Linked DNA regions of Mus musculus. The protein of the gene in region 3 interacts with the protein of the main gene of each other region in a pairwise test. Links are inferred from orthologs where the notes say so. Each region holds a gene or a part of one and is shown on either strand. Other genes may lie near its edges.

What was found.
Region 1: the proteins of Tnik (region 3) and Srgap3 interact in a two-hybrid assay, tested with the Homo sapiens proteins (2 studies listed by BioGRID and IntAct). The link is inferred for Mus musculus from reciprocal best matches to the Homo sapiens genes TNIK and SRGAP3.
Region 2: the proteins of Tnik (region 3) and Cnksr2 interact in a two-hybrid assay, tested with the Homo sapiens proteins (2 studies listed by BioGRID and IntAct). The link is inferred for Mus musculus from reciprocal best matches to the Homo sapiens genes TNIK and CNKSR2.
Region 4: the proteins of Tnik (region 3) and Gse1 interact in a two-hybrid assay, tested with the Homo sapiens proteins (2 studies listed by BioGRID and IntAct). The link is inferred for Mus musculus from reciprocal best matches to the Homo sapiens genes TNIK and GSE1.
Region 5: the proteins of Tnik (region 3) and Wwc1 interact in a two-hybrid assay, tested with the Homo sapiens proteins (2 studies listed by BioGRID and IntAct). The link is inferred for Mus musculus from reciprocal best matches to the Homo sapiens genes TNIK and WWC1.
Region 6: the proteins of Tnik (region 3) and Golga4 interact in a two-hybrid assay, tested with the Homo sapiens proteins (2 studies listed by BioGRID and IntAct). The link is inferred for Mus musculus from reciprocal best matches to the Homo sapiens genes TNIK and GOLGA4.
Region 7: the proteins of Tnik (region 3) and Dpysl3 interact in a two-hybrid assay, tested with the Homo sapiens proteins (2 studies listed by BioGRID and IntAct). The link is inferred for Mus musculus from reciprocal best matches to the Homo sapiens genes TNIK and DPYSL3.

What each region holds. Positions count from the first base shown.
Region 1 is NC_000072.6:112,772,617-112,776,548, forward strand, and holds part of Srgap3 (SLIT-ROBO Rho GTPase-activating protein 3), read right to left. Parts: intron 3,105-3,932; coding exon 2,883-3,104; intron 1,084-2,882; coding exon 982-1,083; intron 1-981. UniProt on the Homo sapiens protein: GTPase-activating protein for RAC1 and perhaps Cdc42, but not for RhoA small GTPase. May attenuate RAC1 signaling in neurons.
Region 2 is NC_000086.7:158,040,085-158,044,778, reverse strand, and holds the start of Cnksr2 (connector enhancer of kinase suppressor of ras 2), read left to right. Parts: upstream 1-1,581; 5' UTR 1,582-1,938; coding exon 1,939-2,002; intron 2,003-4,694.
Region 3 is NC_000069.6:28,605,603-28,609,534, reverse strand, and holds part of Tnik (traf2 and NCK-interacting protein kinase), read right to left. Parts: intron 2,398-3,932; coding exon 2,158-2,397; intron 1-2,157. UniProt on the Homo sapiens protein: Serine/threonine kinase that acts as an essential activator of the Wnt signaling pathway. Recruited to promoters of Wnt target genes and required to activate their expression. May act by phosphorylating TCF4/TCF7L2.
Region 4 is NC_000074.6:120,564,855-120,568,786, reverse strand, and holds part of Gse1 (genetic suppressor element 1), read right to left. Parts: intron 2,420-3,932; coding exon 2,247-2,419; intron 1,861-2,246; coding exon 1,663-1,860; intron 1,025-1,662; coding exon 833-1,024; intron 627-832; coding exon 304-626; intron 1-303.
Region 5 is NC_000077.6:35,875,996-35,879,927, forward strand, and holds part of Wwc1 (protein KIBRA), read right to left. Parts: intron 624-3,932; coding exon 534-623; intron 158-533; coding exon 1-157. UniProt on the Homo sapiens protein: Regulator of the Hippo signaling pathway, also known as the Salvador-Warts-Hippo (SWH) pathway.
Region 6 is NC_000075.6:118,558,290-118,562,221, reverse strand, and holds part of Golga4 (golgin subfamily A member 4), read right to left. Parts: coding exon 2,439-3,932; intron 1,921-2,438; coding exon 1,799-1,920; intron 1,481-1,798; coding exon 1,350-1,480; intron 1-1,349. UniProt on the Homo sapiens protein: Involved in vesicular trafficking at the Golgi apparatus level. May play a role in delivery of transport vesicles containing GPI-linked proteins from the trans-Golgi network through its interaction with MACF1. Involved in endosome-to-Golgi trafficking.
Region 7 is NC_000084.6:43,358,127-43,362,058, forward strand, and holds part of Dpysl3 (dihydropyrimidinase-related protein 3 CRMP4b), read right to left. Parts: intron 3,021-3,932; coding exon 2,836-3,020; intron 273-2,835; coding exon 108-272; intron 1-107.

The DNA.
Region 1 (3,932 bases), on a different chromosome or scaffold from region 3:
GGCTGTGTGCCTCTGTCTCCTCCCTGTGGCCCTGATTTCCATTTAAATTTCATTAATGGCATTATACATGTAAACCATTAAACATCCTTTGAGGTGGTGGTGGGGAGACAGAAGATAAGCAGAAAGAAAGGACGCATTCTGTCTGCCTGCTGTATATGTCTTGCCAGGTTTAAAAAAACAAGTTGGTTTGTCTTCGTGTGACCTTTCCCAGGCCTGCTTCGATTTATGTCAGCTCAGCTCTGTCCTAGCTCTGCCCTCTATAGCGATTCCAAGCACAACTGTCCCTATTGTCCAGGATAGCCTTCATGACATTTGAAGACAGTGGCCTCCTCACCTTACACCTTGACTGCACACCACCTTTAATGGCACTGCCCACATCCTGGGGTCTTTTCTCCAGGGCCCCAGGGTTGGCTGACATCTTTCCTCTGACACTGCCTGCCTGGCTTCTTCAGTCTATGTCCGAATGGGTCGGCACAGTGTGATACTGTGCCACTCAGCAATATGGGAGGAACCCTGGACTGGTGAGGCTGACCCACTCCCTGGGGTTTGAAAATCCACAATACATTTAGGGTGGCCTGGACTACCTATTTCATTGTGTGATTTTAAATATTAACTCTGACTCCTGATGATGACAACCCAAACTTACAGCAGAGAGTGAGGCAGAAAAGCATGAACTCATTAGTAACTATCAATCACTCTACAGCTGAGATGGAGCCAAGGCTCACAGTTCAAAACATTTTCCCAAGCATTCTAAGCCTGCAAATCTGCAATCGTTCTAAACATAGAGTCCGGCTTTCTCTTGTTTCCCTTTCACGTGAGGTCTTGTAAGCATCCTTTAGGGCACTAAATATTCTTAGTGCAGGTGGGCTGTGCGGTTGTATAGTCTCCCACCAATGAGCCATCATTTTCTATACAGTCCAGGGCATGAGACTCCACTGCACAAGCCCAAAGAAACTAGACACAGGGTAGCAGCTCACTCACCTCTTCATTCTCAATCTTGAGAGTGGCCAGCCTGGACTGCAGCTGGTGGTACCGCATGAGCAGCTCTGTCTGGACAGGCTGCTGTGCACTGACCTGGCAGACCTGCAGAAAGGAACTCTGTCATTGCAGATCTGTGGAGCCAGGGTGGGGGCTATCATTAACATTCCATCCAGAGCCCAGGACACAGGTCCAGCAAGGCCAAGGAGTCTGCCCTGGGTTACCCGTGTTGGACACGGACGGCAAAGGCAGTACCAGATGGGAACTAGGGTCCTCTTACTCTAGCGTCTACCCTCCTGCTGTCGCCAGCGTGGTTCTTCAGTCATATTTGCACAGTCACTGTGGGCTTGAAGAGACCTTTAACATAATCTTAGCAAGCCAGACTAATCAGTTGCAAGGCAGGGAGTTGTGGAATGAAAGTAACTGCTTGGACAGACAGTAGTGAGCACAGTGAACCAGAAGCAGTTGACAAGTGCTCCTGTCACTGTTAGGAATGAGTAAAGATGCACCGGAGACAATTGTGACAATCACATTGTTGGTCTGTCTTGTCTACAAACTGCATGTCCACAAATTCAGCCAACCAAGGACAGAAAGTATATATAGGAGGGGGAAAAAATCTCTGGACTGAATGTAGGCAGGCATTTTCTTATTGCCCCCTAAGCAATACAACACAACCGTGCACAACAGTTGCATAGTGTTAGGTATGCTAAGTAATGCAGAGGCGATTTCAAGTATACAGGAGGATACGCACAAGTTCTTTGAATAGTGTTCTTATGTGAGGAGCTTCAGTACCCTTGAATTCAGATATCACCAGTGTCCTGGAAGCAGTCACCCACAGAAACAAAGAGTGGCTGCACTATTCTTTCAAGGTCTTCCCTTCCAAAGCTGTTACTACCTGTGACTTTGTTTGTTTTCCTCTCCAGACCTCAGTTAGGGTCTGGACAGCACAAGCATGGAAGAAAAGTCAATTGTCTGGTGCATCAGAGGCTCACAGTATTGGAAGGGGTGTCAGATGAGGCCATCTCAGGTCCAAGGATATAGGAGACTATTTCTAGGAAGACTGGAGCATCCTTGAAGTTTCCTAAACACACCTAGGAGAGGGGTCTAAGGAAAGCCAAGGTCCTACAATTCTGTAGGTAGGGGACGTTAGCAAACAAGACAAGGAGATCATCCGAAGAAGCTCATGAGTTAAGAGCTGACCCTAGGCCACCGAGGTAAATAACGGCCTATGTGCTCGGGCTTTTTCTCCTCCCACAATGCACTAGGAGCATGGAAGAGAACAGAAGTAGTAGCTATGATGTTAACACGCCCTTCTCCCAAATTTGAGGCATGGGAAACTCATTCTCAAAGTCCTGTGAAAATGGGATTCAGAAGTGGGGCTGCCAGGAAGTGACTAGGTTTCGACAAGGTGCTGCCACAGCAGCAGTAGTGGCTTTATCAGAAGCAAAAGAAAGACCGACCCGAGCTACATGTTTGTTCTGCCTTGCAGAATGGTATCCATGTCATTTTACACCAGGACAGTCTTCACAAGTTGACAAGCAGATACCAGCACCATGCTTTTAGAACTCCTAGCTTTCCTGTATCTAAACCGAAGAGGCCTCTAGCTCAATGGTTCTCAACCTTCTGGATGGTGCAACTTGAATACAGTTCCTCATGTCACGGTGACCCCACCCACCATAAAATTATCTTCATTGCTACTTCACAACTGTAATTTGCTCCTGTTAGGACTTCTAATGCAAATATCGGATAAGTAAGATGGTCTTAGGGGACCTCTGTGAGAGAATTGGTGAACCCTTAAGGGGTCATGACACACGGGTTGAGAACCACTGCGTATTCAGGTTCAGGTACTTTCATATGGTAATGGAAACTGGACTCATTACGTAGGATTCTGGCAGGAAGCCTACCTCATCCCCCATGTGGGGCTGGAACTCAAACTTGAGTGGAGGGCAAAAGACCTGGCTGCACATATCCATGACTGTGTGCTTGTCACTCCGGGAGTCCAGGTTGTCCACTGCATTCTCTATGACGTCCAGACCCTCATGGCGAGAGGTCTCCAGGTTATATTCTGCTGAGAGGTAGGTCCGAAAAGTGCGGGCCAGGCTGGCGTGAAAGCCCAAATCACAGCACTTGGGGAGAGGCAGAGGACAGAAGGGTACAAGTGAGAGCTGGAGTGGGGACCTATGATCACCTTCCATTGCAGAGCACTTTGGAGTCCTGAACAAGCCATATCAAACCCCTCAGAGGGAGCTCAGAGATGAAATGTGGGTACCAACAGAGCCTCCTTCATTGCCCCAGGCTCTCAACACAATCTTACCTCCAAGCATGCTCTCTGCCTGGAATGTTCTCCATTTGCCATTAAACTTATAGCCCATTTCATTCTGGAAGTTTTCCATACTGGGTTTTGGTCAGACATCTACATGCTCTCTGCTTCCCTCACTGTGGCCCTTGTCACCTGCCTTTGGAATTGTCTAGTAATGTGCTTTAGGCAGGTGTGCTCTAAGGGGCTTGCTGGCTCTTGCCCCCCACTGCTGAGCTTTAAGCCCTAGTCCACAGTAGGTGCTCAATAATCATTTGGCAAGTGAAAAGGCATAAAGGCTAAAAGCTGAAAGCTGAGAGCTAGGGAAGAGGAGGGGGCTAGCCTGAGGCCGTTGGAAGGCTGAGCAGATTGCTGCCCCCAAACCCCATGTCCTGGCTTCCAGAATAGAATACATTGGGTTAGAGGGAAAGAATCCAGCGGCCACTACCAAACCTACTACTGCACACCTACAGAAATGGATTCTCCATTTAGCATGGAAGGGGAGACAGAGAAATAGTCCTGGCTCTAAGACATTATCTCCCATCACTCTACTCACAATATCCTTCTTTAAGCCTGATGCTCTCCAGGGTGCCCTGCACAGCCAGCTACCCACTGTCAGTGTTCAAACTCATTCCTCCCAGGAGAACTTCCCAATGGC
Region 2 (4,694 bases), on a different chromosome or scaffold from region 3:
TATATGGAAGCTGGGAATTGAACTCAGGTCCTCTCAAAGAGCAGTCAGTGCTCTTAACCGCTGAGCCACCTCTCCAGTCCCCAGTAAATTTCTTTTTAAAATTTTATTTGTATATTTTGGAGTTTGGGTTATTAGTAAACAAGTCTGAACACAAGCTTCTTAAATGGTATTTGTTTGTAGCACTAGCATAAAAACATCAGTGTGTTATCTACTCCTGTTTTGCCTTCTCCTGTGTTGGGGGAGAACTTGCCAAGCCATGCCAACTGAAGAAAGTGGTGTTCTGTATCTTATAAACTTGAGTTAGACAAAATGGGTACCGAAGGAACTGACATGATTTATTGACATTATTGAAATGATTATAGAAATAAAAGAAGTTGCTTGTTTACTCAATGTGACTGTTTAAGAATTATACCGAGGGGGGAAAAAAAACAAACCAGCTATAATGGTGGTAGAGCTTGCTACTAGACGCTCTAGAATTGTCATTGAAAGTGAAGCCTCATTTAGGCAAAATGTGTATTTCTAAACGTTGCATAGAAGCATGCATAGGTTTTTTGAAGCAAACAATATGTGAAACATTATGTTTGCAATTTGTCACTAACTTTAAGTCCTGTTATTACTCTTCCGTTCTTATATAAGAACGACTGAACACAAAATGACATCATGTAAAATAGATGTCGGGGACCTTGTGTTGAAGGAGGTGGCCGACAACTGAAGCAGAGCCTGGGAAGAGGCACGTGTGGGTTCTGGAGGCTGGAGCCTCTTGCAGTTGACATCTCTGACTTCCCGGGTTCCTTTTATCACCCAGGGTAGATCCGACAGCACGAGCCATCTAGTCTCCTATGGGCGTCTCTGGCTAGATCCTGACTCCCATCTGCGGAAGCCCACATCCCGTGTTCTCCGCAGGGTCCGGAGGAGTCACCTCGGGAGCCAACTCAGCAGCCGCGAGGGCGACAGAGAGAACAGTCAGGACTCCCATTGTCACCCCAGCAGTTCTGCGGCGTCCCCTCCCCCCTGGTGGCGAGGAGAGCTTGGGACAGGGGTGCTATAGTACCCTCCTCCGCCACCCCGGGTTGTCCGTTCAACTGGTGGGGCGACCCGTCTCGCTGACTCTCCTGGAAGGCCACTGGGAGCCACTCTCCTGCCGCCGCCGCACCTGACTGCCTAACTGACCCCGGGGCTGGGCGAGCCTCCAGCTGCAGCGGCTGGCTCCGGGGCTCCAGGCGCTGCCGCACACGCCCTCCCGGCGCGGCTCCGGCCGAGTGCGACCCCCGGGGCGGGAAGGCGGGAGCGCGAGCAGCCCACACCTGGCCCGCGAGTCTGCTAGAAGTCGGGCGGCGGCCACGCGCGCTGGCCCACGCACGCGCACAGGGCTCGCGCGCACCGGCTGCCGGCCCTGGGGGCGGGACCGCGCGGCGGCGAGCGGGGCGGGGGGCTCGTGGAGCGCGCGCCCCGCACCCGAGGGCTGCGGAGAGATATTTTGGGTGGCAGGAGGCCCCTCGTCATTTCCGCCGGGCGGCTCGTCGTGCCGGGGGCTCCACTCCCGCGCGCCAGGCGAGCGAGCGGGCAAGTTGGCTGCGACCGTGCGCCGGCGCCTCTTCCTTTCCCCGCCGCGACCTCGGCGGCTCGAGCCATGCACTGAAGCCCCTCGGGACGCTCACCCCGGGCTGAGCCGCGGACGCCGCAGCTGCGGCTGCCGCCTGGGCTGGGACCTAGCCGACCCCGGCGTCTTACCCCGGCCAGCTGGCCGGCCGTCGCCGCTCCCACCGCAGCCACCTCCGACGCTCCAGCCTTGGGACCGAAACACAAAAGCCACCCTCTCCGCGCCGCCCACCGCGGGAGGCTGCGGCCGGCCACCGACCCCACCTGAGGGCGCAGCGGGCTGCGGACTTGGCTTTCTGTCCGAGCTCCGCGTCCCACGCGGCACCGACCCCGCCGCCCATGGCTCTGATAATGGAACCGGTGAGCAAATGGTCTCCGAGTCAAGTAGTGGACTGGATGAAAGGTAATGCCCTCTGTGGGGAGAGCGAGGCGACACTGGGGCGCAGGGTCCCGGTACGAGGGAGGGGTGCCCGCTAGGGCATAACACGTCCTGGGAGCTTCCAACCAACTGCTGAGGGTCCTCCCTGGGGATGGACAGGGGTCCTCTGGCTCTGGCAGGGGCCCGGGGACCCTAGACTTCTTTTGTCTTCAGCTGGAGGGGCGCGGGGAGCAAGAGGGCGGCGGGCGCCACCTGGTTGAAGCTGGAAGCAGGGCGGTGGAATCCCCGCGCAGCTTCCCCGCTTCCCGCTTCCCTCGACGCCTTCGGGTTGAGAGGACGCGGCGACCCTGTTTCCAGGCTAAGGGAGGAGCCCGTGGGACCTATTCTCGTGGCTGCCCCTTCACCAGCCCCTTTGTTCCTGGAAACCCGAGGCCCCTTCTAGGTCTCGCCCTGCCAAGTGCCTTCCCCAGCGCCAACTCTCCTGGCAACTTTTAAGCCCGCATAATGGGGTCAGGATGCAGTCGCTCCAGTTGGAAGGTGGGAACCCCCTCCTCCATGCTGGGCTGAGGATGATCGGGAAGGGAGCGAGCTACTTTAGGGTAACATGCTTCCCTTAGGGCAGCATCCAAGCTAATATATGTGGGATCCCTCCTGTGCACCCCAGCATGTCCTTTGCTTTCCTAGGTTGAGGTCTGCGGTGGCTTTAAACCTCTCGCGGCTTCTTGTTAAGGGTCCAACATTGGGTTTAAAGTGATGCGCATTCAAGTATTCTCCTTTCTTCCATATTGAAGGCTCCCCCACACACACACCCGACAATTTCTAATGACCAGTTTCAAACCTTAGCCCTCCTCCTAGACGCAAATGTGGGCTTTTTCTCTAGTCTCCTGGCTTTCCTGTCTCACTATCTCCCTCTGTTGTCTGAGTTGAGGGGCTTGTTGGGGACCTCTCCAGTCATCCCCAGACTGAACTCTGCAAAGGGGATGCTTACATTGAAATAAAAGATTCTTGGACATGCTTGGAAAATATGAGAGTTTTGCTTGAGGTCGTACCCGAGCAGGCAAACTTAAGATATTCTTCAAGCCTTATCTGTGAAAATGCCCCTTTCAAAGAGGAAGGAGCCCCTTTCCTAAGGCTTGCTTAGCAGTCAGACTTTCTAAGCTCTATATACTCAAAGATGGAAGGGATTGAAGGTAGTAGGGAGAAATAAATTCTCCCCGAATCTTTCCCCCACCATTTCGGACATTTGCCTATTCTTCTAGGGTTTCTCTTTATGTGTTTTGCTTCCTTTTCTCCCTGATTTGCCCTGTTACTTCTCACTTACTTTGATTTTCTCATCTCATATGTAAGAAAAATGCTTTGTAACTGCGAAGCACACTGTAAGTGCAAGTGAATTGAATTAAACCTAATTCATTATTTATCCACTGCCCCTTGTGTGCAGTGCATTGGTTGCCATGGGGGTTATAAAGATGACTAAGACAAAGTCTAACAGTGCCTCATCTTTTCTGCTGCTTGTTCTCTTTCCATATTTGCTATTAAAATTCCAGCTTCCTGGATTCACACACACGCGCACACACACACACACACACACACACACACACACACACACGCCTCAGGAAAATTCTGTCTTTTCAGTTTCTTAGTCATGGATGACAGAGTAGTCACAGGAAGTAAGAATGTTGAATTAAAACGCTTTCTTTGAATTTCTCTGAAAGGTGAGTTTAGTTTGGGTCTGTTGCTGCAACAACATTCAGACTTATGGTGTCTTGGCTTCATGGGATTGCCTTCTAGAAATTCCCATGATGCCTGTAATGAGCACTGCATACTCCATCTTCTTTACCTCGTACCCAGTTACATGCTTGCGGCTTCCTTTCTCTCCACTGTTTTAGGTTCCCTGAAGCAAGCACAGCATATGATGTCCTTTAAAAATCTCTCCAGTGCAAAATGTAGTTTCTTTGAACTTTGGAAAAGATTATTTCCTGTAATTTTAACTTTACATGATATTTAAGTTGAATAACTTGTTTTTTGTACCTGTTGGTGACACATTTTATAGTTACCTAAGAAGATCAGTTAGGTAACCAAGATAGAATTTACATGCCTTTGTAGAACAAAAGACTGAATAAGACTAGGAGAGTATCTGCTTTAATTATCAAGTTCAGGTCCCAGTTAGCTGCTTAGTCCTAAACTGCTTATTGTTAAATTTTCTGTGATAGTCATATACATTTCAGATCCTATCAGAAAATGAGATTTCTAAAAATAGTTGGAGGAGATGAGAATTTCCTCAACTTGCTCTTTATAGTGTTACCTTAGTTAATTTTCTCTACTATTTTTCCCAGTAAACTTTAAAAAATGACATTTAAAAGATAGTTTTTCACTTTCCTCAGTAACAGAAATGTTGGAAAGACGACTACCAATTTAGCCTATAGCTTTGAGTTGATTAGACCTTGCTTAATGATTTTTAAATATATAGTGTTATAAAGTCAGTATTAAGGCATGAACAACATTTTATTGTTTGTTTGTTTGAAAAGGGATATCATATAGTACAGATTGGCCTTGAACTTCCTGTATAGCCAGTCATGACCTAGGATTTTGGATCCTGCTTTGTCCACTACCCCAGAATTGGGATTACAGGTATAAGCCACCACTCCTGGTTTTATACAGTGGTTGGGATCGAACTCAGGGCTTCTAGCATATTATCATGTTTCCTATAAGCATCAAG
Region 3 (3,932 bases):
TGGAGCCTAGAGGATGACGTGTGTGCTACAAAGGGCATGGCTGGAGAAGTGACCCAAGCCCTTGGAGGAGCCCAGAAGATAGTGAGTTGGATCCCAGACATTGGACGGTTGGAGATTGATTTTTGCTTTTGATTGTGACTGTGCCCTGATATTTTCCCTCTTGAAGGAAGAAACTGTTTTAGTGGAGCCCACAGTTAAGAGACTTTTAATTGTAAAAAGACTTTGGATTTTAAAAGAGATGGATATTTTAAAGAGATTGAAATTTTAAGAATATGTAAAGACTGTGGGACTTTTAAAGTTATTTAGATCTTGGGGATGAATAAGAATGTAAGGGTTGAGGCTTACTAGTGATGTGTTTGTGTGTCAAGTTGACAAGGGGTCAATTGTACTGGCTAGTGTTGTGTCAACTTGACACAGCTGGAGTTATCACAGAGAAAGGAGCTTCAGTTGAGGAAATGCCTCCATGAGATCCAACTGTAAGGCATTTTATCAATTAGTGATTAAGGGGAAAGGCCCCTTGTGGGTGGGACCATCTCTGGGCTGGGAGTCTTGGGTTCTATAAGAGAGCAGGCTGAGCAAGCCAGGGGAGGCAAGCCAGTAAAGAACATCCCTCCATGGCCTCTGCATCAGCTCCAGCTTCCTGACCTGCTTGAGTTCCAGTCCTGACTTCTTTCAGTGATGAACAGCAGTATGGAAAAGTAAACTTTCCTCCCCAACTTGCTTCTTGGTCATGATGTTTTGTCCAGGAATAGAAACCCTGACTAAGACAACAGCACAGTCACTGTTTCATTGTCAGAATAATGGGAATCCTGTTGTGACCCCACTTGAGAGGGAAAAGGTAATAGTTTGTAAATCATTAAATCCACTTTCTCTTTCACGGAGTTAGTAGTAACCGTTTTCTGGAAATCCAGGACATTACAATTGTCACTGCTCTGTATGCTAAGCACAGTAGGAAAGATTCATGGACCAGGAAGAATATGGTGCAAAATATCGTAAGCATTTCAAAGACCTCCAGGTTGACTGTAGACACTTTCCAGAACAGCCACATTCCAGAACAAATATCATCTTAGTAACGTGAGATAAAACCAAAGCACTTAGGGTTGTTCTGTAGGAACACTAGTAGGAAAACTAGTCATTTCTCTGTAAAAGTTCGACCCTCTGTAATTAATTGAGTCTGCAAATACATATAGTACCCCTTACCCTAAAGGGAGCATTCCTTAAGAAGAGCTAAGTGAAATGCTTAAAGACAAGGCCAGCCTGTCTGTGCATGTATGTGTGTTTTCACATGTGTATACATGAGTGTGACACCCTGTGTGTGTGTGTGTGTCTGTGTGCGTGCACATGCATGCACCTATGGAGGTCAGAGGTCAATGCTGGGTATCTTTCTCAATCTCTCCCTCTCCTTCCTCTGCTTTTCTCTGGCTCTGTTCTGTCTCTCTGGCTCTGTTTCTGTTTCTGTTTGTTTCTGTTTGTGTTTCTGTTTGTGTCTCTGTTTCTGTCTCTCCAACCTGCTGTCTCTCCATCTCTCTGTCTGTCTCTCTTTCTGTGTGTATAACAGGGTCTCATTGAACCACAAACTCACCAATCTAGCTAGACTCTTTTGGCTAAGGATCTTCTTGCCTCCGCATCCTCAACACCAGGCTTAGATGCACATGCCACCATGCCTGGCTTTTACTTGAGTGCCAGGGACCTGAACCCAGATTCTCATGCTTGTATGGCAAGCATGTTACTGACTGAGTCATCTACCCAGCCCCCATACCATTTTCTGAACCCTTGAAATCTGCTCAAGTTTTGTGTTGTTAAATATAAGGGTAAGCACATTTTCTTTTATTGATTTGGTTTGTCTAGCAAGAAATGCAATAATCACTGAAAATACCCACTAGTCTGTTGGCTAATGCGGACAGCAAAACGGCCTAGAATGTTTGGTGTTGAGAGTTATAATTCTGTTTTAAGACATACTTCTCTGTCTTTGTCCCCTTGGGAAGATGAAGATCAGAAATGATTAATGACTAGCCAACACTCAGCTTAGGAAGAGACGCATGTGAGAAGGAAGGTGTTGTTGCACAGTCAAATTCTCTAAACTGTAAAAGGGATGGGATGGTGGCACATGGTGGCAATGGCAGCAGTGACACAGACACCCAGCAGCACTGATGCTACCTTTGGTGGAATGTCTTCTTCCTGTCGTAACCAAGAGCTTCTGTCAAACTTCTCAATTCTCGTGGGGAGAGGAGGGTTTTCTGAGGTGGGATCCGAGTTCTGGCGTGGCATCTCGACCCGGTGAGAGGTCACATTCAGAGCCTCCTGGAACCCAGACAGGCCCTTTGTGGGTTGCTCATGTACTGACTGGGAGGCCGTCAAGGCAGGTCCCTGGGATTTGACAGCTACCAGCTGCGGGATCTAAGCACACAACACAGGGGCAGCATTATTAGAAGCCCATAGGTTAAAGGGACAAAAAGATCTGTATGCAAGAATTGAATCCATCAGAGCTACGACAGGGCAGTTTTCAGTTAGCAGTAATCACACTTGGGATACACTTCACTGGCAGAGATATTCCTGCTAGTCAAGGTTGCAGAGAGCACATCTGGAAACCCTTCAGAGTCTTCAATTTAGAAAATTTGCAGGGCTACCTCAGGGTTCCTGGAAACAGGTTCAGTTTGCTATTGTCTGGAACTGCTAAGAAGTCAGGAAGTAGTGTGGCAGTAGTAACAATTATTTTTATTCAATATTTCTTGGACAGCAACACAAGATGTTTTATAAGCTATCCCAAGCTCCTGCCTGTAAAGTCCTTAGCTTTGGCTTTAGATACAATTGCTCTATGAAAGAAGAATACTCTAAATGTCTTTCCTTCTGTGATCTCACAGGGTTGAGATAACCATCCTCCTTATTTGAGACATGAGCAATCCCAGGTACAAAGAGATTAAGCCACATCCTAAATGTTACAGCTGATATGCTGGAGTCTGAGCTGGAACCCTGAGTTCTACTCCCGTCCCTCCCTCCCTCCCTTCCCTCCCTCCCTTCCCTCCCTTCCCTCCCTCCCTCCCTCCCTCCCTTCCCTCCCTCCCTTCCCTCCCTTCCCTCCCTCCCTCCCTCCCTCCCTCCCTCCCTCCCTTCCTTCCTTCGTGAGACAGGGTCTGCTTGTGAAGTTCAGGCTGGTCTAGAAGTCAATGTCGTCATGACTGGCCTTTAACAACTCTCAGAAATCCACCTGCCTCTGTCTTCTGAGTGCGGGGATTAAAGGCTTGTGGCATACATAGCTTTCACTTTGATTAAGACATAGTTTCTCACTGGCTTCGAACTTGCAATTTCACTAAGCTGCCTGGTCGAGAAGCCCTAAGGTAGATTCCCCTGACTCTGCCTCCCCAGTACTATGATCACAAGCCTACACGGGCCATGTCTGGATTTTATGTGTGTCTTCTAGGGATCGAACTTGGGTTTTTAAATGGAAAGCACTTTATCAAATGGGCCACCTGATTTCCACAGGACTGGATGTCCCCACTAAAAACACACACCATTTCCAGGTATCAGGATGCTTCTTTGGCACTCAGGCAATGTGGTACTGTTTGGGATTTTTATCTGACCTCTTAAGAAAAAGCATCAAAGTCTAGGGTGCAAGGGATACCTCCACCTGTGCTGCATTTTGTGAATACTGAAGCCGGTCCTCTACCTCTGGGTGTATACTGCACTCATGGGAGCCCGGGTCCATCCATAGGTTTAGCTCACATGGATCATGGCTGGGAAAAAAAAAATCTAGAGTGCTTCCTGACTAAACTGCTCATTCAAGCAGTCTCGGCTTCCTATGGGTTTCATACAAGGCCCTGCCAAACCCACTTTGGTCTACAGTGCCTATTAGAATGTCACAGAGACATGCTGGAAGAATCCTCAAAGCTCTGTTCTGCTGAGTGTTTTGAATAGGCCTTGTAAAGTTCACATGG
Region 4 (3,932 bases), on a different chromosome or scaffold from region 3:
CCAGGCTAGCCTTGGCTTTAGAACTCTGACACAGAACAAAAGGTCAGATTGGGGGTATCTCAGTGGCGTGACTCTGGTGTTCACCATCACCATGGCAAAAGGCAGAGACCAACCAAGGTTCTACCGCAGTGATGGCAACTCCCCTCCCTAGCGTCTTGGCTGTTCTGGGGGCACCCATGGGATCCTGGATCCACCCAGGGTGACAGAGCACACCTCCTCCCAGTCTCGCCAGCGTTGGGATGGCACCTCCTTACTGCTGGGGCAGGCACAGGCCATTCCCTCCACACAGCTCAGCCCAGGTACCTGCTCGGGTTGGGGTCAGCTGCTCCGAGGGCTTGGGCCGCTCCTCCGTGCTGTGACCTCGGAGTCCGTGCAGCTCGGCCACAGGCAGGAAGGTGGTGGGCTCTAAGGCCTTGGCAGCCAGCAGCTCCTTCTCCCTCGCCCGCTGCTCCCGCTGCCGCTCCAGCTCGCGCTCCCGTTCCTTCTCCCGCTCGCGCTCCAGCTCCTTCTCCCGCTCCTTCTCCCGCTGCTCCCGCTCCCGCTCCTTCTCCCGCTCCCGGTCGGCCTCCCGTTCCCGTTCCCGCTCTCGCTCTCTCTCCCGCCGCAGTTCCTCGTCCATTTGCAACCTGGGAGGGAAAACAGGGCAGCGTGCTAAAGGGATGTGCAGGGGGGGCAAGTCCACGCCCCAGCTCAAAGTGGAGCAGCCACATGCAAGAGTTGCCACCTACACACAAAGAACCGCATCCCGCCACCACCAAGCCAGGCCCCGCTGAGGACCTCAGGAACGCTCAACAGTCCCCTCCACCCCACCTCTGCTGAAAACACAGCTTACCTCTCTGCACTGAGGCTGGACATCCGCTCCGAGTGTAGCGCCGCCAGGGACGAGTGGGAGAGCTCAGGAGGATACCGTACGCCGGAGAGATGCAGGTGCATCGCCGACGGATGCAGTGGAGGCAGGGAGCCAGGGGTGGGGATGGGGTAGAACGGAGACCTTAAGGCTGACAGGCAATAGGAGTCATCCATCCTGTAGACAGAGAGGCAGGACTGGTGTGTGCAGGAGCCACAAAGGATAAGCTTGCCTAGCAGATGCGAAGCCCTCAGGTGAATCCCTGGCACTGCAGGAGAAAGGCCGGGACCCAGGCAGGTGAGCCGGCGCCTCTCGGCTGGGCGAGCCACTGCTCACTCAGGCTCAGCCCTGCAGAGACTGCATGCAAAGAGCATGTCCACTGTCTGGGGCCACAAGGAACAGACCACATGGGCGCCTAGGACCTCCCGGACCATGGGTGAGCGAGCGGGAGGGCAGACTGGCTGCAGGCAGAGACCTCTGGTGTGACCCGCTGTGGTAAGAGGCCAGGAGCTTCTACAGGAAGAGGGAGGGCATGGCCTGACTCTCACTCCGGAGTCTCCATCACACTGTCTAGGTACCACACACTGTTAGTGGGGACTGGCTGCTGGGGTGCAGATGCTGAGAAGTGGGAACCAAGGAGCATCAGCAGGTGGTACTGAGTCCATCCATCAAGACTCAACTCAGTCGAGCTGGGGAAAGCTATATAGCTCCCTTGAGTGCCTGGACCCCAAGCCCTGGCAAACGCCCGCCCCGAGAGGTTCTGCCTTGCTGAGAACAGATTAGCACACAGGGCAGCGTGAGTGGGGACGCCTCACCTGAAGGCCGGGTGGGGGAATGGGTGTGGGGCCAGGTAGCTGGGGTGATAGTAGGCTGCGGCGGTGGCTGGGTCCAGGCCAAGCGGAGGCAAGGAGGACATGCGTAAGTCTTCAGCAGTGTGGTAGGGCCGGAAGCTTCTCAAGTAGTCCTCAGTCACCGTGCTGGGGGGCACCACATGGTGCACAGGCCGCTGGAGGCTGTGGGAGGGGGAAGTGGGGAGCAGAGGTAATGTGCCACACTCCCTCACCAGGCTCAGGTCCTGCCTCTCAGTGAGGTACAGCCTGGCATGAAGCCCAGACTGCACAGATGGGAAGCTGCCTGTCCCTCAAGGTCCCCACGAGTGGATAGAGATGCTGGAGGGGCTCTCTGTTCCCCAGACCCAGAGGATGGGCTTAAATGTGTTTAGGACACCTGATAAGTCTGTCTCAACAAAGGCTGGACCACAAGGTCAGATGGGGCCAAGGACCTCAGGGCAGATCAGGCCACTGAGACTAATGGCATTCTATCTACCTCTGCCAGTGCAAACTCTCAGGTCTGTCTGGAGCCACCCCTGTGCCTTCCCTGACCCCAGGCTGGCACTTACTTGAGTGGTTGGAAGCGGGAGTCCTGTACAACTGAGCCGGGGGAAAGGCCAAAGGGGTACGGGGTGCTGAGTAGGTGGGAGGGGATGGCGGGGCCCGCAGCCTTTTCCTGGGCGAGAGGTGGCTCCACCAATAGGCGCTCCCGACCACTGCTGCTGCCTCGTGAGCCAGAGTCCTGCGGGAAGAAGAGTTAGGTTTTGGGGAGCCATATTCTAGAAACATCCTCCCCCTAATTTTTTTTTTTAATCAAAGAAAGCATAAAAGGGGTATTTAGGGAGAAAGCCTCCTATGAGCAGGTCTGGACCAAGGTCTACAGGGTCTGGCTCAGCTCTAGAAGGAACTCAACAATGTCAGGGAAGCCTTAGACACCAGACTGCTGAATCCCAAGATGAGGCATGTGAGGGCATCTGCAGGGTAGGAACTCCCACCTCCTATAGGCAAAACAGGGTGGTCATAGAGTCAGGACACACACACACCCTGGGGACCTGCACCTCAGGACAGAGCTGCTCCCTAGATTCCAGCAGTGCCCGTAGCTATGTGGACACTGCTGGCAGCTGATATGGACCTACGTGGGGGACCCTTGCACATATTTAGGCTTTGAGACCCCAGGAGAGGCTCCCTTCAGGCAGGAAGTGAGAGGCGGCAGTTGAGTTGGGCTGGGCTGGGCTGGGCTGGGGAGACCCCGCCTCACGGACTGATTTTCTGTATAAACAGTCACAGCAGCACCACACAGCCTGGAGAAACCAGACCCAACAGCCCTGCATGCCTGTCACCTGTGACTAGGGAGGAATCCTCAGGGCAAGGCAGAGAGGCAAAGTCAGGGAGCCACGGAGCAGAGGGGAGACTGAGGGCCAGGAGCCTCCTGGTACAACTTTGAGGCCCTTCCCTCACTACTGCAGGAGAAGCCCAACACAAGGCAGACAGTGGCACTCACTAGGGACACGAGGTCCTCTGGATGATATGGCTGAACCCATGGTGTGACTGAAAGGCTCATGGTAGCCAGCATAGTAACACTGATTGTCTCTGGATACAGGCCTGCCAGCCATTCTACCGGCTCCTTGTGGTTATCCCCAGGGTCAGCAGCTAGCATCACCAGAGCATATGTAAGCCCCGAGGGGAGGGGTCGTGGCTGTACCACCACTTAACCCTGTGTGTGCAGAGTGAGGACAGCTTAGCACCGTACCTCCCCGCCTCCATTCTCACAGAGTCTACCACAAGCCCTCCTGCTCCCCACAGACAGCCAGCCACGATTAATTGAGGGAGACAGGCTGCTGATTGAATTTTTAATGAGCAGCAACATCTGTTTCCTTCCCTGGGTGCAGCAGCAGGCTGTCTCTGTTCCCTTGTGGGGTCCTCATGGGTTCATGACCTCTGACCTGCCCTCCTCAGGAGAAACATTCACACAGTACCGTATAGGTGTGTATGGCAGGGTGCGGGTGGGGTGGGGGCACATATCCCACTCACACCAGGACAAACAAGGAGACTAGAAAAATGGCCATCAGGCTGGGCAGTGGTGGCACATGCCTTTAATCCCAGCACTACAGAGTGAGTTCTAGGACAGCCAGGCTACACAGAGAAATCCTGTCTCCAAAAAAAAAAAAAACCAAAAACCAAAAAACAAAAAACAAAAAATAGCCCCAAAGATGAAAAAAGAGAAAAAAAAGAGAAAAGAAAAAATGGTCATCAGG
Region 5 (3,932 bases), on a different chromosome or scaffold from region 3:
GAGCTCCGAGTCCAACTGCTCGAACGGGTCATAATAGAGGTCAGTGAAGCTGGCTGAGGTGGAGGAGTCCAGGCTAGAGGCGGCCAGGGAGCCCCGGCTGGAGGTGAGTGACCCAGGGCTACTGCCTGAAGACAGGGACTGCATGCTGCTTGAGAGGCTGGGGACAGGGAAAGGAGAGAGATAACACGGAGTGAGGAGGCCAGGGGCCACTCCACCGGGCTCTGGAACTATGTGCATCCGTCTGCCTAGCCCACTTGACAGCCTAAGTTGGACCGGCACCCAATTTCACTGAGGAGAAATTGCTATCAACATGGGCAAGAAGGCAGATGTGATATGCTTTCAGACCCACGGGCATCTTTTAGGGGCCATCTCTGTGTGTACAGTGCCAAGGGATGAAGCACCCGGTGGCCAGCCACCCTAGCCAAGCCTGCATATGCTAGAATGACCAGCTTCTAAATGTCTTTCCTCAAGCTAAGGTGGACCAGAGGATCCTGAAGGGCATCATGGAGCTGGGTCACCTCCTGGCCACCCACCTTTTCAACTGGGAGTGCAGGGTAGCCACCTGCCGAGTGGCTTCCTCCAGTTCTCGCACCAGCTGGTTCCTCTTGCTATTTAACTTCAGCCTGAGGGAGAGGAGGCAAGACAGTAACACTCCAAAGGGCTGCAGTGCTCCAGCTCCCAAAAACGGCCTAATAGGTGCACTCGCCAGCCCAGGCGCACAGGCACAGGAACTGGGTCGTAACAACGCGCTCCGGTGTAGTGGATAGGCACAGACTGTTTTATACAAATTCTATAGGAAGTGTGCAGCCCCTGCCACACCTGAGAGACTAAGCTAGGGGCCTTAACACACTGCATCGATTCAGGACGTAATGTATGTGCCCGGGGAGAATGACTTCAACAGTTTTATAAATGAGGAAAATTTGAGGCTCTTAATTACATCGTTTACTCAAAATTATTGACTAAGTGGAAGAATTAGGATGCCACCAAACTACCATTCTTTCAACTGCTACCCCATTCCCCTCCTCCCCTCCTTCCTTTCCCCAACTAATATTTACCCAGGTGACACTGGATGCTGTTCCTGGCACCAGGGACACAGCAACGAGGGAAAAAGAGAACTCGTTGCTTCTTATACAGAGCATGGAAGGTGGAAGACAACAGGCATCTAATTAGTGCATGGTGTAACAAGGTCCGAAAAAAAAAGGACAAAAACAAACAAACAAACAAACAAACAAACAAACGCAGAGCAAGGAATCCCTAACTGAGATCAAGCAAATGGCTTCATGATCATCTTTCTATCACCTACGCTTGTCTGTGTCTTCCTGGGTTCCCAGGATCAAAGCTGAATCACTTTCCCAGGTTCCCTAACATCTGGCTGAGGCACGTGAGCAAGTTCTGGCCAGTGGAATACGAGCAGAAACCACGTAGACAAGCAGACCGAAGTGGTTAAGGAAAGTGTTTTCTGCTCCGTCTCTGTGGCCTTAAAGGGGGGCAGACAAGCGGTGGGCTCTTCAACAAGGGAGGCTGCCAGTTTCCAGGAGTTCTAAGATATTATCTGGGTGAGAAGCAGACGTCAAGAGTGCTTATCCACAGAGATTTGGGGCTATTCCTCGCAGCAGCTGGATCAAACTAAATTAGGGAAACTGAAGTGGCTCACTAGACAGAAGGGAGTTAGGAAGAAAGGAAGGAAGGAAGGGAGGGGGAGGGAGGGAGGGAAGGGGGAGGGAGGGAAGGAGGGAGGGAGGGGGGAGGGTCTTTTCCTAGATGACGTGGCTGAGTTCACTCACTCAGCCGAGGGGCCGGGATGATGAATTTCCATGTCAACATGACTCATTGCTCCTCTGTCACCCTGCTGGCTCCCTTGACTCAGGAAGGGACCAAGAACTCAGCCAGCCCAGTCTACGGCCAGAGGGCCTGGGTTGGTTTTCACATAAAATCAAACCAAACTAGCCAGGCCCCTAGCAATATTAGACCAGAGGTAGCCTCAGAAACAACTGGAGAGCAGAGGGGGGTGTGTCGGGCTTGTAAGTGGGCAAGCAGACCCGCGAAATCACTCATAGGATAACCAGAGTGGTAGGCTAACTGCTCCTGGCATGACGCTTGTCCAACTCACTCTCTAAAGCCTTCTTTCCAGACACTTGCCTGGGGCTGATAGGGACAGAAGGCAGGCTGGCAGATGGGGGCCTGTAATGGAGAAACCCCAGAGTTCTCTCGATGGAGTGCATTAGACTGTGGAGTGCCCCATCCCTCTCTAAGAGCACAGCCCATAAAGGAAGATAAGCGTGGGGTCACGAGGTGGAGCTTGTGGTTTCTACAGAGCAAGCCAGGGTACACCAGGATCAGACACAGACCCTCCCTGGAGACTAGGCAGGATGGAGACGGAACTGTCGTTGGACTGAGCATGGCACAGGGTAGTCACAGACAGTAACACACAGGTGCAGGGCTCCCCTCTCAGCAGCAGCAGGCTTAGCAGGCCAGATGGCATGTGATGGACGTGCCCAGCACATGCTGGGAGGCTGTGAATACATCAATCATGGAGATAGGAAGAAGATCCAGGGGGTGAGGCCTAAGTGCCCACAAGCTATAGCTTCGCACCTGGGATGCTGGTTAAAAATGCAATAGCCTGGGCTGTATCTCGGGCCTGAAGAATTGGTCCCTATGATCCGACAAGCATCCTGTATGACTGCACACCAGCTCTGACACATGGCTGGTCGAGAGCAAGGCACAGGGAATGTAAAGAATGTGAAGGCAGTTCTGAGAGACACAGGGAGGGGAGAAGGAAGGAGAAATGTAAAAAGGGGCACAGGAGAGGTGAAGGGGAGAGAAGACAGAGAAAGGGACACAGAAAGACAGACAAAGGGAGACAGAGGAGAGAGAGACAGAGAGAGGGAAGGAGAGATAGAGGGAGAGAAGGAAGGAGGGGAGGAGGGAGGGAGGGAAAGAGAGAGCTTACAGAGAAAGAAAGCAGGAATTTGGAGGCCCAGCAGTGAAGACAGACAGACAGACAGACAGGGATCAGAATCATATCTCTAGGTATCAGTTCCTTCCCGACACTTCCTGTGGCTTCTCTCCTTGGCCCCCTCTTAGGGCACACGTGGCCCTTGTTCCCTGTGCTCCCTGCCGTCCCAGCTGCTGCATTTCCCCCAGGGACCTTGCCCTCCAGGACCTCTGTGTGGTCTGATCAATGGAGCAGCGGAGAGTGTAGGCTCCCTAGACTGGCTTGGGGAGTCAATACTCCATCAAAGCTCCTGGACCTTTGAAAGATGGAGTTGAAGGCAATATGGAAAGGCCTTCTGAGTGTGCAGCTGCTTAAAGTTAGTAAGGACTTGAATCCCAAGTATGGTTGCTTCTAATCTCAGCTCTGTCACTGGGTGGTGTTAGGTGGGCCTCGATTTCCTCATCTGTAAAACGGGTTGCTCTCAAGTTACTAGGTCTGGCACATTCAGTACACCTGAGAGGCACATAAAAGAACCTCTGGCATAAAAAAAAAAAAAAAAAAAAAAAGAACCTCTGGTTCTAGTTTCAGGAAAGAAAACCTTTGACAGTAGGTCAACACCTTGATTCACAATCTGGTACTCAGGGGCTTTGCCTCCTTTTTTCTCTATGAAGCAAATGAAGCTCCTATTGGAAGCATAGATAAGGTGTCTCTTTTGACCTAGCAAGAATCAAGTAGAGCTATGATCAATGTATTCTCTTTAGCTTTTGGCAGAGAAGATGATGGACAGCCAAAGGCCCCCAGGGACAGTCAATGGGTCTAGTGGTAGGTAAGAATACAGGAACTGGCCCAAAGGCCCAATAAAGACCTGCCCAGGCTACCCAACCATTTATATTTTACACAAACACTACAGGTACAGGACATATAGACAGAACCCTTAACGCCAAAGAGTATGGCTCCAGGAAAACCAGTAACAGTGCCTTTGGGCAAGTGCTTCTGA
Region 6 (3,932 bases), on a different chromosome or scaffold from region 3:
TCTGAAGCTGCCAGGCTTGAATTTTCTCACACCAAAAAATAGCTGTTACCTTCTTAAAGTTCCTTTCTTGGGTTTTATTTATGAAATATGTGAAGGTAATGACGAATCTTTATTCTAGAACTCAATAGATAGTGTTAGGCAAATCATTTAACTAAGGCTGCCTTCCCTTCTGTATAAAAACAAAAGAAAACAAAAGCACAGTAACAAATACCAGAAGACAGAACTAAACTATGTTTATCAGGTATACTAGATATACTAGACCATAAAAAATTCCATAAGGAGTCAAAAAGTGACTGTATTTATTTATATTGAGACAAAGTCTTATGCCCAGGGCTGGCCTTGAACTCCTGATGCTCCTAACCCAGCTCCTGAAGTGTGCCAGGATCATAGGCACCAACACCTCAATGGGATTGTTAAAAATGCATTTATTATCTATGTGTCTACATGAGACCAGATGTACCATGTGCATTGAAATGCCCATGAATTTATGTGTACCATGCATGTGCAGTGCCCACAGAGCACAGAAGAGAACACCGGGTGCTCTGGAACTGGAGTTACAGTTAGCTGTGAGCCACCACATAGGCGCTGGGAACTGAACCTGGATGCTCGCTCTGCAGGAGCAGTCAGAGCTCTTAACCACTGAGCCATCACTCCAGCTCCCTGGCTGTATTTTTAAAAACTCAGCACAAATATACTCTGAAAGCCTAAGAAAATGTGCAATTATTTTAATTTTCCTAATGAGATTTAAACCTTGCACACTGCACAAAGGTGGCATTCCATATCCTGAAATTTCACTCAATTTGATTACATTTAAAACAATGACTGTCACCATCTATCCCTCCCTCACATGCAGTGCTGACGCAGCTGAAGTACGGCTCTTCTGGAACAACAAGTGTCTCCCGGCGTGTGACGCAGTAAGGTTATCTTACGTAATACGCCAACAGAGAATAAGTGACAGTGCTGTGTCTGAAAACATCCATGGGGTCCAAGTTCTGACCCTCGTTTGTGGTCTCTTTTACTCTGCTACTGCAATGCCACTGTATTACATACTCTGAAACAGCATCTACTGAACACAAAACACTTAGCTGATAAATCTCCTTTTCCTATACAGTCCACCCTGGACCATCAAATTCTGCAGCGAGTGGCGAGGAAGGAGGTTGGCTACTGTCCTGGGAAGACTATGGCTAGGGTGAGCCGCCTCAGACACAGGCTGCACTTGCTCCCAGACTTAACCCAAGCACAAAGCCTCACTTTAGCTTCTCAAAGACGTCTCTCCATGTGAGAAGCCAGAATATTCAGCGCTACCGTAAAACACTGCTACACTTCAAAAGAGAAGGAAACCAAGGTACATCGAGTATCTCCTCGTATCTCCTGGCTGTCCTTCTCAGATCATCCTCTTTCTCCGCGATCTTTCTATGCAACTGCTGTGTCTCTTCTTGGTGGCTTTCCAGAAGTTCGGCTTCCACCTCTTGGGCCTTATCTAATAAAAGAAAAGGGACATAAATGAGAAATCATGTTTGTGACTATATGCCAACGGCAATAGGAACTTCTCATTTCAAATTAATGCTGATGAAATGCAGCAGAGCAGGCGTGGGGAGGCGCTGCTTCTCGCCAAAGGCCAGTGAGTGATGGCGAGGCAGGTTAGAGGACGTTCAGGAGGACAAGTGCACTTTCTGGACAAGGACCGTTTTCCCTGAGTTTAATGACACACAGCACCTACCACATGGGAAAGGAGAGTAAGCTTCAACTGTGGGCTCCCTGAGGGTGGTGTCCCTGCCGAGCTCAAAGCTGTGCTTACCAATGGTCTCCTGGACAGTTCTTTCCAGCTCCTGCTCCTTCTGTGCCAGTTGTGTGTTAAACTCCCGCATCAGCTGCTTCAGTGTGGACGTGTGCTTCAACTCAAGATCCTCTTGCTCCTGTCTGAGAACAAGAGTGGACAGCGGTGACTGCTGCTGCCTCCACAGAGCAAACAGGGACCAGGCTTCAGAAGAATGGGACTTCACTGCTGGGGAAACCACTCTGAGTGTGTGTGTATGTGTGTGTGTGTGTGTGTGTATGTGTGTGTGTAAAGAGAACAGCGCATACAAAGTGAGACTGATGAACTATAACTACCCTCAGCACTAACCTGGGCTCTGGAGAACTGTTCCTTCCTACTGTAAACTTCTCCCCTAGACCTGCATGCTACAGTCACAAGGCTACGACTAAGAGAACAGCAATGAGATCGTTACTCCAGACGCGCAGCCAGCAGCTGTGATCTTACCTGCAAGAGGAGCCATGTCCCCTAAACGAACATGGAATGACACTGTATCCAGGCCAAAATGATCATTTCTCCTCAGTACTTAACTTACGAGGCTTATGGAACACTTTGGGCAGGTAAAAGTGTCTATACGATACACCGCACACACGCACGCACGCAGGCACATGGGCACAGCACTTACTTGAGCTTTTCCTCGGCCTCCTGCTCGCACTCCCTCTTCAGGATGTCCAGCTCCTGCTGGTGCTCCCTCCGCAGAGCTCGCAGCTCCTTCTGCAGCCTCGCCACCTCCTTGCTCAGCTTCTGCTTGTCCCGCTCCGCTCCTGTCAACTTGGACTCCAGGTCGCTGCGCAGGCCGTCCACGGTCCCCACGTTTGACTGGATCTCATGGGATTGGGAGTTTTCCTCAGGCCTGTCTTCCAACACTTCTACACATTTATTTTCCCCATCCATTTCTTGCTGGGAAGATTGCGATTTTTCATATTTTAAGGTCAACTTTTCCACTTCAAGTCTATGGGCGCCCCTCTCTCTTACTAAGTCCGACTCCAGTTCTTTCACCCTTTGCTCTAGGGCCTGGCAAGTGAGCTCCTTTTCCTGGAGGGTTTTCTGAACACTGTCAACCACACTTGCCCAATTCTGCTTCACCCCTGTGTTGTTACCAGTTTCTTCTCCCATGGGCTGAGACACAATTAAGGAACATTTCATCTTTTCTTCGAGTTCTTCTGGAAGACATCCTATCAAAACGTGATCTTCAAGCTGCCTGGCTCTAGTGCAGTCTAACTTTCCAGAGAGCGCCCTGTGCTGAGCCTCAGGCTGCGATGGCCTCGCCTCGCCTTCGCCCTGCTCCAGCCTGCGCAGCAGCTTCTCTTTTTCACTTAAACGTCTTTGCAGCATGCAGAGTCTTTCTTTACAGGCCTTGTGTGTGCAGTCCTGGGAATCTGGAGCCTCTTGCTCGGGAGACGCTGCCACACTTTGCATAGATCTGGACACCGCTGGCACTTCTGGGTGTGGAGAACTCTCCAGGTTTTTAAGTTTGTCTTCTAGGCTGTGAACTTGCTTTTCTCTTTCTTTTAATTGTGCACTCAGCTCACTCAGTCGGTTCTCTGTGTCCTTCGCATACCGCTGGGTTTTCTCTTCCATCTGAGACAAGAGCTGCTTCCTGATGGCAGCGATCTTCTGCTCGGCCTTCCTCTTCAGCTCCACTTTTGCAGCACTTTCTAACTCAAGTTTGTCTTCTAAAGCTTTCAGCTCCCCATCTCTGCTTTTCACACTTGAATTTACATGTTCTAGTTCCTTCTTCACAGTTCCAAGTTCAGCTTCCAGCGAGGACACGTGCTCTCGTAGTCTCAGGACGGTCTCTTCAGCCTCCCTAACCTTGTTGTCTTTCTCTTCTCCCAACTCTTCCAAGTGCTGAAGTCTCTGAACCAGCCCACTGTGCTCAGTGTCCCTCTGCTGGTTGTAATTCTTAAGTGTTTCATTTAGGGACTCAACTTCTTTTTTCCTCTGAGTAACGCAGTCTTCTAATTCAACGACCCTTGCTGTCTGAGTCTTTAACGCAGTCTCTAAGTCACACTCCTTTTTCTCCATCTTGCTCTTCCTGACTTCCATCTCGCCTTTTAAACATTCAAACTTTTTATTCTGCCGATCAAGGTCTTCCTTCAGTAAACATATCTGCTCC
Region 7 (3,932 bases), on a different chromosome or scaffold from region 3:
GACGAGACTCGGAACTCGAGGAGTGACTCCCACGAGCGGGCGGGATGTTGTGGGAGACGCAGACAAGGCAGCAGAGAGACGAGGCTGGAGCGCGTGCTTTGACTCACCTTTTTCCTTGCTGAGGCTCTGTACCTCCTGCTTGACGCTGTCATTCCAGTGGGTGATGTCCACATGCAAAGCATAGTCACAGCAGCTCTTCCCATCGGCCCACTCACGCCACTTTTCATAGGCCTCTGTCAGGCTAGACTCAGGTTCAGGTACCACGTGGTCAACTGAAGGACAGAGGGCAAAATGGGTGACTCGGAAACAGTTTGGTCTCCCTGTCTCTATTCCTGCTCCTTCCAGCTTGGTTAACTCGGGGACTTGGAACAAATTAGTAGCTTTCTGAAACCTCAGTTTTCTTTTCTTAAAAATGGGTGTAGAGTAGATGGGGAACACGTTATGATTGTATTTTTCCGTCTGAGTTTTCCATATGACTAAGTGCAAAATGCATATATAAGGTGCTTCACTGATACCTGGCGCATATTAAGTGTTAACTCCTCATGACTACCTGCTATTTTTATGTTGTGACTACTGGCTCTGAGTCACTATTAATGGCCAAAGTTGTGTTCTCTTCCCTGGATAGAAGAAGAAGTTCTAGATGTATAGCAGGCATGAGTAACCAAAGCCCATGAACTTGCTAACAAGAATAAGTTTCTCTGAATTCAAACCCACTTTTCTCTGCAACCATGGATGATACATATTTTTAAAATAATTGTGGGTATGTCTGCATCTGTTTGAATCAGCTGCTGGGTGGAGCCTCTCAGAGGACAGTCATGTTAGTCTCCTGTCTTAAGCATACCACAGTATCATTAATAGTCTTGGAGATTGGTGCTTGCCCATGGGATGGGTCTTAAGTTGGGCTGATTGTTGGTTGGCCTTTCCCTCAGTCTCTGCTCGATCCTCAGTCCCTGCATTTCTTGTAGACAGGATAAATTTTGGGTTTAGAGTTTGGTGAGTGGGTTGGTGTCTCTATCACTCCATTGGAAGGACTGTGGGAGGGGGTGACCAGGAAGAGGGGCAGTGAGCAGGGTGTAAAGTGAATAAGTAAAAAAGAAAAAAAGTTAAAACAGTAATGGAGGCATGGTAGTGATCCCAACACCTGGGTGGCTCACTAAAAGCTCAAAACCAGCCTAGCCTGTGTAGCAAGATCCTAATATCTCAAAACAAACAAAACACACCATGCCTAAATTAAGAGAAATGATATTAAGTAAAATTATATTTGTATTTTAAAAAAATAATCATTGTGGTTGTTATAGTAGGGATTTAGCAAAAGCTCTACCCTCACCTGGGCCACAACGGGTAGCTGAGTTAAAGTGTGAAATTGGTTCAGCTTTTGGGAGGACGACATCGAAATATATATCAAAACTCTGGACATTTTCCAGACCAGACTCAATTTACTCTCATGCCTAAGCCTCATGCCTAGGAAGATAAGTTGTAGCTGTCAGCAGCATTTAGTATCTAGACTGTACGCTGATGCATTTACGAAAATGAAAAATCGAAAGTGGCCGAGGTTGAAAAAAATTGAGAAGTTTAGTTTAAAACATAGAGACACTTTTCACAGAGTGACGAGAGACACCCATTTTAAAAGCTGAGGTAGAATGTGAGCAAATGACTGCCTGGAGCAACATTCGTGATCCACCACTTAGTGGAAAAAAAAAAATCACAGCTTTAAATATGGCACAGATACTAGGATCCTGCTGTGAACTTGGAAACTGCCATAGTAAGAAACTCCAGCAGTGAATAGGGTTACGTGGATCCTTTGCCTTGCACACATCTAGAGTTTCTAAGTTATCAATAAAGGGCAAGAATGCATCTGTGGCTCCTTGTAAGCTTTATTCTTCGCCTAAACCTCCCATCTGCTCTCTGCTCCTTTGCTCATGGAGAAAGACCAAGTAGACAAGACTTTACAAGCATGCAGAACAGGCCCAGTTCCTGGCCCAGATGGCAGCCAGCCAAACCAAAGCAAGAACCACGCATTTCCTCTGTCAACAGAGCCCGAGTGCACTGATGGGAAAGCATAATGCATCCAGCTACATCAATACTGTCTTCAAGGACACCAGGGCTTTCCTGGGCAGAAAGCTGCTGAGAAGTCAGCTGGCTTCCTTTTATCAGTTGCGGGGAAAGGCTCAGGCCTCCCTGGACTGCACCTTTTATGGCCTTGCTAAAGTTGAACCCTGCTAGTGGTTCAGTCAAAAGGAAGGTCAAGACAGACTGTAATTCTGGCTCAGGCTGCTCTGTGCCTGTGGGTAGAAGAATAAGCTGTTAAGTAAATAGTGCTGTGTCTGAGTTTGAGGCTAACTCTGGGCCAGTACCCAATTCATTGAGATTCCTTGGAACAGGAAGGACTGCCTGAAATACTATCAGTTCTGTACTCCAATAACATGCAATTTCCCAAGTTTCTCTGGAATTAGTAATTACCAGAAGCAAAAGAAAAGAAAAATAAAAGAAACCGCTCACAGCTTTCCTAATCTTAAAGATACAAATTGGTCAGAATATAGCAAAGACCCAATAGCACTAAATCCACCGAGACCCACTAATCTCCCAAGAACTGTCAGTCTCAATGATCATTCTTTCAGACATATCTTTCTCTGGTTGTTTTCAGTAACATTAAGTTCATGGACGTCCTTTGTGTAACTACAGGAAGTTGGCAGTTTTCCTGCTTTTCCCACACCCAGGGTCACATAGCTTCCATGAACCAAACTGAGAGAAGTGTGTATAATTTCCGTATTTTCAGAGGGCAGTGTTTGACACCTTTCTCAAACCCACAGGGCTGGGCAGTACGAGAGAACGTACTGATCATGGTGGTGCCTCCCGCTAAGGCAGCCTTTGTCCCTTGGAAGAAATCGTCCACTGTGGTCATTCCCTTGTAAGGCATCTGGAAGTGGGTATGGACGTCAATGCCTCCAGGGATCACCATCTTCCCGTTGGCCTCGATGGTCTTCACACCTCCGGGGACAATCAGATTGTCTCCAATTTGCCTGACGAGACAGTGGAACAACGGACAATTAAATGGAGCGATCCTCAAGACGAGCGTAGGATGTCTAAGCAAAGACAGATAGCTGTGTATCCAAAACTACTGCCCCAGCATCATCTGCATGGCACTGTGTTATGGTTTGGTACTGAAATCTAAAGATTGCCAATGTCTAGAGTCAGTGCGTGACTCATATTTTTATATAACTATTTCCATTATTTCATTCACTTTGTTTTTTCTCTCTATTGGTGTGGGATCACACTGGGGAAAATGACAAGGAACGAGAAATAAATGACTGTTAGGTGCAACAGAAGATAATAACTTGGTACAACAACAGGCATGGGGACTTAGTCATCTGTGCCCTAATCAAAGGCGTCTGCTTGAATCACCACCTGCTCAAGTTTCTTTTTCTTACTCCACCATTCCCTGATCAGCTAATAATGCCTTGTTGCAGATGCACAAGGACAGCATCAAACATGCAGCTCTCTCCCACACCCTCTGCTTTTGTATGGTCAGTATTTCAATAGAGGCTCCAGACAAAGAAAAGTAATTATGGTAACCCCGAAGGCTTCAGAACATCCCAGGAAAGAGTGGGGGAATAAACTCATTGAATACATAAATGAGAGTTTCAAAGGTTCATCTCACAAGAATGTGATAACTATTCCCCACAAGGCTGTTTGCAGGCCACTGGTTGCAACATTGCCTAACTTTTTATTTTATTTTATTTTTTAGCTTTGATTTAGACATCTGGCCAGGTCTGCCCTCATAGTATACCTAGGATTCACAGTTTATACTAATACTAAATATCTCCTACCTTGGGCACATATGTGCCCCACTATTTTCCCTTCTGTAGATAGCCCCCCAAATTCTCTTGGGGTAGTAAAAAGTCCACCCCACTGCTGACCAGCAAACTGTAGGT